Linked DNA regions of Danio rerio. The protein of the gene in region 2 interacts with the protein of the main gene of each other region in a biochemical or structural test. Links are inferred from orthologs where the notes say so. Each region holds a gene or a part of one and is shown on either strand. Other genes may lie near its edges. The genes, in order: stx4 and snap23.1.

Region 1 (4,604 bases), on a different chromosome or scaffold from region 2:
CCAACAGCAGACCATTGGCTTGGTGTGTCCCAGGCCTTACAGTGCATTAAAAAGATGGCTTTGTAAGAATGCTAATAAGATCAATGAAAAAAAGCACAGCAGAATAAGCACATACTGATTTTGAGTTGTCTTTTAATCCTCTCCACATTTCGGTCTCTGTATTGGGCTTGAATTGTATTACAGCGACCCATCAGTTCCAGGAATTCACGGGACAAAACACCATGCTTTCAAAAAATGATGAGGAGACATACAAGATCAGATTATTCTCAGGCAAAACAACACTGTTTAAGTTTAATTATTTATTAAAACATGAAATATAAAAGCAACTGACCTGAGTTCTCCTCATTCTTACATTCACTGGGATATATTTTTCTTCAACTTCCAATTTCTTAGGTTCAAGACCTATGATGTAAATGAAGTGATTAATTTTTCACATTTGTTAGGTTGAGCAGAAAAGTTTGATTGTCAAAAAAAAAGCTTCATTTATAAAATTTTATTTATCAGTCTCACTTTTTAATTTCTTTTGGATCTGGCTGGCCATCCCTTTGATGTCTTCTCTGAGTGACTGCAGTTCCTTTTTCATACCTGTGCTCAAAGAAAAATATAATTTACTCATTCACTCACTATCCTTTAACTTACTCTCTTCATAATTATTAATTAATACACACACACAACATAAGATTATGTAAATGAATAATAAAAAACCCAAGTGAAAGCTAAATTACTTACTGTCCTCTGGAAGTGCAACTCCTAGCACTGTTTTCTGCTTGTTCTCCAATTCGGAAACCTTTCTCTTAAGAGTTTCAAGTCCCTCTCGAATCTCCTGAACCTACATAGAAAAAAGAAAATATATTTTTATGTCAAGTTTCAATGCAAACTTTCCAAGCACAAATGTTATGGAATTCAAGTGACCCAAATGTAATTTATGTGTAATGTTTGACATTACATGAAGTTTGCACAAACACTAAACAGCTTCATTCCTTTATTACTGTTTGCATGTGCATGTTCCTAATCTACGGTGGTGGAGAGAGAGCTCAAATGTACTGTAAGCTAAGATATGCATATAGAAAAACCAAACTAAGAAAATGTGTTCATTCGTTTGACAATATGTGTAAGCAAATTCTCACAACACATGCACATATGCAAAGAGCACATGACAGAAATGTGTCAGGGAACCCCAAAAGAGACAAACCCAGCTACTTCCTGTTTAGAGCCTGTCAGGGTTGCTGTCTGATGGTTATTTTAATGTCCTGGTCGTAAGGTTCCTTGTTGTTTGTACATTTTTTGCATTAATAATTGATAAAAAATGCTTTTTTATTGGTGTTTTTTGTTGGTGCAGTACATTTGAGCGCTCTCAGCCACCGTACTAATCAGTATTTGTGAGAAACCTGCAGTGTAGAAAATCACAGTTCAGAATTGCAGGATTTCTAAATTATATTATACAAGAACCAACAATACACACTTCAGTTCAAAAATCATTAATTACAGAAACAACATGCTACTTCTGTACAGATCCCTAAAACTAGTGCATAAAAGTATTGAAAGTTGCAGTTAAAATGAGAGCAATCGTGCTACAATGACCTTTTTAAAGAAAGCTTCATTTTCTTTGTCTTCATTTGCTGAGGTTCCAGATCCAGGCTTTATCATTAGAGCTACGGTTTCTTCATCTTCATCTGAGGCATCAGCAGTCTAGTAAAAGAGTACACAATACGACACTGAATATAGTTAAGAATATTGTTATTAATAAATTTTTATATTGTATGTTATCATATTTTAAAAATATTACCACCATACAAAGTGCAAGACAGTGTTTCTGCAGCTTAGATAAAGGTAAATAAGGTTAGCAAAATATCTATTTTAAATAATACCTCAAAGTTTAAAAAAAAGTAAACAGATCTGTTATTTCTAAACTTACAAAAAAAAGTCAAAACTGAATAGCCATTAAAAATGTTACTCTTCTCATCACATTACAAAAAACATCTTCCACTATATTCGTCGTTTTGCAAATGTGTGAAAGTCTTAAATCAAGATATATTTTACATTTACTTGACATGTTTTATGAAAAATATATATTTGAATTTAATTAATTTAGGATTACACAAAAAGTAGCTTTAAGGAAAAACACGTTAACATGACAGATAGTGTGTTTTATTGTGTGTGAATTTATTAACATTATAGTTTTTTTGCTTTTACAGGAAAACGAAGTAAAAACCATATACAGGAGATTCATATTTTTCAGTATGTGCAACATTTAGTGTAAAAACTTTGTGAAATTAACCCTTTGTGACTCTCTTTGGGACATTTAAAGGTATTTGTTTGTCGAAAGGCAAATGTAGTCCCACAGAAGAAACTGCAACAACACAATTACGTGAAAAAACAAACGGATGATAATAAACCTTTATTGCCGAGCGAATGACAGTGTATTAATAATAATACAACTAAAAGTTAAGTACCAATTCAACGCTTAACTTTCTTGTGAGAAAAACTAAAATCAATATTCAAATGCAACCATTCATGGCAGCTGTATTTATTTGTAGGCTAAATAAAGTTACACCCCGTTTACCCAAGAGCGCTGGTGCTGCAAGAGGGTGTTAGCCTACCGTTCGTGGACTTTAACCATATATTTTTCCAACACAAGAAAATAAGCCACACAACTATAGATTGTGACTCGTTACAATCCTTGAAGGAGTTAATAAATCGCAGTCGAGCCAGTGGTGACAGTAGTTACATCCGCTGAATAACATTAGCCCGTTAGCCAGTTAGCCGGTTTCCTGCGTGCACTGCCCTGAAATTACTCACATTGCCCAGTTCTTTGGTCCGGTCCCGCATTTTCGATGTATTTTATGGCCAGCTCAGATGAAATGTTCCCGTTTTTAAGAGGTGTAGCTCATCTGTCTCCTGACCATAAACTTGCAAAACTCACAACAGATAAGAGGGAGTTTCCATTGAAAGTCACATTTCACGCCAGCCAACTTCCACAAATAACTTTCAGAGCAGAATATTGATGGACGCTGAGAGATGCTGTGTATATCTATGCTATATGGATAAACTCTGGTTATGTTTAGAGATCAGTGTGGGGCGATGTCGCTGTATATGACTTTACCGTTTTCTTCTTCTCTATCAGTTTGCGGATGTCTGACAAATCCGTCAAGGCTCTTACTGCCCCCTACTGAGCGACACGACTGAGGCTATTTAAGGAAGCCAATTTCCGCCAGAGAATAACAGTTTTTATCTTTTCCCGCTTTTTGTTTCAGATTTCTGAGATTTAAAATCAAAATTTCGAGTTATAAAGTCAGAATTCTCAGACATAAAGTCACAACTGTGTGATATAAAGACATAATTTTCACATATAAGTCATAAAGTCAGAACTCTAAGTTACAATTCAGAGATTAAGTTACAATTTAGAGTTATGAAGTCAGAATTCTAGGATAAAGTCACAATTCAGAGATATAAAATGTCACAATTCTGAGTAAATAAATAAAGCAAGAATTTTGAGATATACTTCACAATTACAGGTTTTGTCAGAAATCTGAAATATAAAGTTGCAATTGTGCGATATAAAGACAGCATTCTGAGATATATGTCACAATTATATAAAGCTATTACATAAGAGTTATAAAGCCAGCTATAATTAGCATTGCCGGCAGCTAGCCCTCTGCAACTCTCATGGTTGAGCAGGGCTGCGCCAGGTCAGTTCCTGGATGGGATACCACATGGGAAAGCAACTGTAGGTTATTGCCACAAGTGTGTTAGGGAGACCAGCTCAACCTGCTGTCTGTATGTCTCCTAACACGCCGGTACATTAATATACTGTCAGTGAGTCCTGTCTTTCAGATGAGATGTTAAACCTGACTCTCTGTGGTCGTTAAAAATCCCAGGATGTCCTTTGAAAAAAAAGAGCAGGGGTTAACCTCGGCATCCTGGCCAAAGCTGCCTACTAGCCTCTGTCCATCATGGCATCATAACTCTATCTCCACTCCACCAATCAGCTGGTGTGTATTCTGGTGCAATATGGCTGCCGTCATTCTGGTGGATGCTGCACAATGGTGGTGGATGAGGAGATTCCCCCACCCCCCAAAAAATGTGTAAAGTGCTTTGAGTGTCCAGAAAAGTGCTATATAAAGTTAAGGAATTATTATTAAAATTCTGAATGCAATAACTACTTCAAAAAAATTACTCAGTGGCGAAAACGGGCTTACATATCCACATGGGTGCATCACTCAGTAGGGGGCAAAAAGAATCTGAGTTTTGAAGTCAGAATTGCGAGTTTTAACGGATATCAGATCAGTAATTGTATAAAGAAAGAAAAGAAAATCGAAAGCTGGAAATCATAAACCTAAAAATAGATTTGACAGGAAGAACCAAAACTGGAGATTTTAAAGTGATGACATGAAGAAGTTTTTGCTTCCCAGAAGAGCATTATAGTGAAAAGTCTTTCAAAGTACCATTTTAGTTTACTGATTAGCATGTAAACACATACAAACCCAACAATTAGATTTTTTTTTATAGCTCTGCGCTTTGCGGTTTTAAGCCTCCTTGTTAGAGCAATCGAATCCCATGCGGAAGGTCGCCGGTTCGATACTAGCTTGGAGCGGATTGGGTGG
Region 2 (3,828 bases):
AAAATAAATAGAAACATGGCATCTTTTTATAAATTTATGCAAAAGTTATAAAAAATATGTTTATCTAATCTGGACATTCATTTACAGCGTATTATGTTGCATACTAGGCATGGGACGATAACCGTATTCAGGGTTTACCGCGGTTTGGAAAAGTCAAGGTTTTAAAACCGCCAAAATTTTCAGCTATACCATTCCTAAGGTATGTGTAAGATTCGTTTTGTTTTTTAGGACAACAGTATCTCCAGCAGAAAAGATATCCAAAAATGACAATTTAAATGGTAAAGAAAAATGTGTTTTTGAAACAAAATAAGACAGAAAAGTCAGTGACTCGTTTGAGTTATTCAGCCCGACATGTTTACTGCTCCAAAATATTATAAAGGTTTCTCAAAATAAATTATGTTGTGTTCAAAAGGGAAAAAACATGTTTTTCTATCCCGACATTTAAAAAGAATATGTTTTAGAACAGTAATCATAATACTGTTATACCGTGAAACTGTGATATTTTTATCCAAGGTTATCCCATGTCCCATTCCTATTGCATGCATCGACAAAGAACCTTTTCAGCCCTGGTAGACATATCTATTAAATCCAGAGAATTTTCAGTTGGTCTTTTAATTTCTTTATACAGAGCTGTATGTAGGCAAGATTGTGGTTTGGACAGAGTTGGGTGTAAGGCGTTCCACAGTAACGCGTAACTATTCCAAATACCATTTTTGAGGAACGTAGTAATGTAACGAATTACATTTTAAATTAGTGTAATTTGATTACAGTTACTAAAGTCAATGTATTTGTGTTACTTTGCGTTACAAATATATATTTTTAAAGAAAAAAAATGCATCGTTTAAATCACGTTTTCCGCTACGTCAGTTAATTTGCATGCACTTTTAAATAGCTGGAGAACGCAAGCTGAAATGGCTGCTGTCGAAAGTGTTTGCTTCTTCAAGTGGAAATACTGACATTACTTTGATTTCATTGAGCGTAAAAAGAAAAATATTGCTGTGAAATGCAGACTATGTCCAGAACTTTTAACTGCTTTTAACTCGACCAGCAACTTGTTCAAGCACTTAAATAGAAAGCATTCTATGACAATATTAGTCACCAAGGAGGACACTGGCGCCCCAAAACACGGCGGCTCAACTCAGCCTAAACAGGTTCACATATTGCATCTTTTGCGCGCACTTATTGGGAGCACATATTGGATGCGCGCATATTGGAAGTGCGCTCACATTTCCCAGGTGCACCAGATGAAAACCACGAGTCACGAGACAAGAACTGACCGATCAGCTTCATACTTTGGAATATACACATTTAGGTAGACTTATCATTTTAGAGCAGTAATTACAATATCGTGAAACCGTGATATTTTTATCCAAGGTTATCATATCATACCTTACACCGGCCCATGCCTAGTTGTATGTTAATAGTGGTGCAGTCACTTACCGCCCTGCTCATCCAGCATGGTCATTGTTTTGACCCCCGTCTCCCGACTCTGAAAATATACAGGTTTATATAAAGTTAAATATCGTATATGAACTCGAATGAGCAAACAAATCATGCTTTTAATGCCACTGGTGCGCTTACCTCCTCTGCCATCTGCAACATCCGCCTAGTGCTTTCAAGTGACTAAACAAAAATGACAAAAAGAATAATAATAAATAAATAAAAGACATATTCAAAATGTAGTCAAATCATGACAGTACAGTGACACAGAAAACTACTGTGCTGAACATACATTTGCGTTCTGCATGCAAACATCAAACTATGTGTACCTAACACTGCAGCATGCCTTTGGCTCATAAAGTCACATAGTGTGAGTTGTATTCAGTAGGAAAATAATACAAACCTGCTGGTGAATACAGAAATGAATAGAAATATGAAAAGCCAAGATAATTCTATGAAGCCATGCAAGAATCACAGGACATACACACGAACACAATGTGAAAGCAGACTGGAATGATTGTGAAATTATTTTTATTATTGTAATTAAATTAAATTCAAACTTCTACTTTAATGTTTAAAAATTACTAAACAGTACATAAAGTTAAATACCTAATTATCACTTATGTGCTATAAAAAATAAATTATAAATCTATTTATAAACACACAACAGTTCTGTCTAGTTATTGAATCTGATTGAGTGATAGCCGTGCGATATTTTGCAATAACAGCCTTCTTCACTCTTCTGTGTTACTCCACCCACATAGGGTGACAGCATAATAAACTCATTACAGTGACAAATATTGCAGCTGTTGGACAGCATAATGTATTTTTGAGGCTTTTTTAGGCAAGAATGTAGTTGTTTAGATTGCATCTATGCAGTTTATTTATAAGGATAGGGCCTATTTTAAATATTTTTAATTTCGGAGATTGGCAGGCATCAGCCTGTTATATTGAGCAAAGCAAAAACAGTTGCGGCAGAAGATGGCAACAGAGACCACATAAATAGTCCTTAGGGAAGAAAACCCAGCGTTTTCATTTTAAATTTCAAACTACAGCTGATCAAATCATTATAAAACAGGTGAGTGACATTCTAAGTTGATCTCTTTTTTTTGTATGGTTTAGTGCTGTATTTATACCACATATCTCCTGAATGCAGAAAAATACTGGGAAATCTCTTTAGACTGATGGCATTTCATGCCGCTCAACAGCCAGATCAGAGCAAAATCACCTGTTTTGTCTTCACTTTAGACATTACTCAAGAGAATCTTTCAAACACTAGCTCTTACGTGACGTTTGTGAAGTAGCAACAGTTTCTGCCGTTCTGACATCAGCTGCAGATGTGAATGAATTGCAGAAGAAAGTAGTTCCTCTAACAAAAGGCTATACACTCTGCGTGTTTGATTTTCCTTTTTATACACACGATTATGCCGTCGAACTGTTGTATAAACCAAATTCACATGAGTAGCAGTGCAATATGACTGTAGTCACTGGTGGGACACACGCCTCCCACCAGTGCCAATATACAGCCATATTGCACTGCTACTCATGTGATACTGCTCATAAAAAAGTGTGTGTGTGTGTGTGTGTGTGTGTGTGTGTGTGTGTGTGTGTAGGAGGTAGGGTAGGAGTGTTTTAATAAAACAAAATCTCTAGTTTACCCCCAGTCACCCATGCTGATGTCTTTTTCATGCTATTAGTCTCTATTACAGCACACAGGCTCAAGTGAATTCCTTCAGAGGCAGCAAGGAAGAGAAAGAGAGAACAAAACAGTTATGAGTAAAGTAAGAAAGGAGTGAGTTATTGTTACCTGAAGATTTTAGTAGCAGAGAATCACATATTCACAAAGTCAACAAGAATAAACTCATATTTTAGGACACTTAGTGCAAGAAAAATATGATTAGGAAATGCAGCACTGAAAGAGAAGAGTGAGTGATAGGCTTTACTCTCACAAACAATGAGTCTGCAAATATACAGGAACTTGAACGTGTTGTGTTTTGTTTTTTTTTTTTTTTTTTTTTTTTAGGTGTAAAGTTTCTTCATTGTTTTCTGTTTGTTATTGAACAGATGACAGGCGTACCTCATCTGTAACTTGGTTGGCTCTCATTGTGATATCTTCTACTGTCATGTCGGCCATCTTGCTGGTGTCCAAGTTCGCCTCTCCTCCTGTGACCTTAAGTTCCACGCTCTGGGGTCTGAAGGCAAAGGTCAAAGTTTAGAGGCCATTGAATCAAACACAAACGAAGATGCCCACAGAAAAAGCTTTCCCTACTACCTGGAATCTGAAGGAATTCTGTCATCGTTACCCAGCCTGATGTTCATCAAATAAAATGTTTAATGTGAAGCTCTGGAGAGGACTATAAATGTAGTCCTTATTTGTAATTATTTCAG

Evidence for each region.
Region 1: the proteins of snap23.1 (region 2) and stx4 form a complex in vitro, tested with the Homo sapiens proteins (4 studies listed by BioGRID). The link is inferred for Danio rerio from reciprocal best matches to the Homo sapiens genes SNAP23 and STX4.

The regions. Positions count from the first base shown.
Region 1 is NC_133187.1:22,373,852-22,378,455, reverse strand, and holds the start of stx4 (syntaxin-4), read right to left. Parts: upstream 2,984-4,604; 5' UTR 2,830-2,983; coding exon 2,800-2,829; intron 1,690-2,799; coding exon 1,582-1,689; intron 830-1,581; coding exon 730-829; intron 586-729; coding exon 511-585; intron 403-510; coding exon 332-402; intron 225-331; coding exon 116-224; intron 1-115. UniProt on the Homo sapiens protein: Plasma membrane t-SNARE that mediates docking of transport vesicles. Necessary for the translocation of SLC2A4 from intracellular vesicles to the plasma membrane.
Region 2 is NC_133192.1:35,124,538-35,128,365, reverse strand, and holds part of snap23.1 (synaptosome associated protein 23.1), read right to left. Parts: intron 3,633-3,828; coding exon of another isoform or gene 3,575-3,632; coding exon 3,518-3,574; intron 3,171-3,517; exon of another isoform or gene 1,624-3,170; coding exon 1,582-1,623; intron 1,490-1,581; coding exon 1,441-1,489; intron 1-1,440. UniProt on the Homo sapiens protein: Essential component of the high affinity receptor for the general membrane fusion machinery and an important regulator of transport vesicle docking and fusion.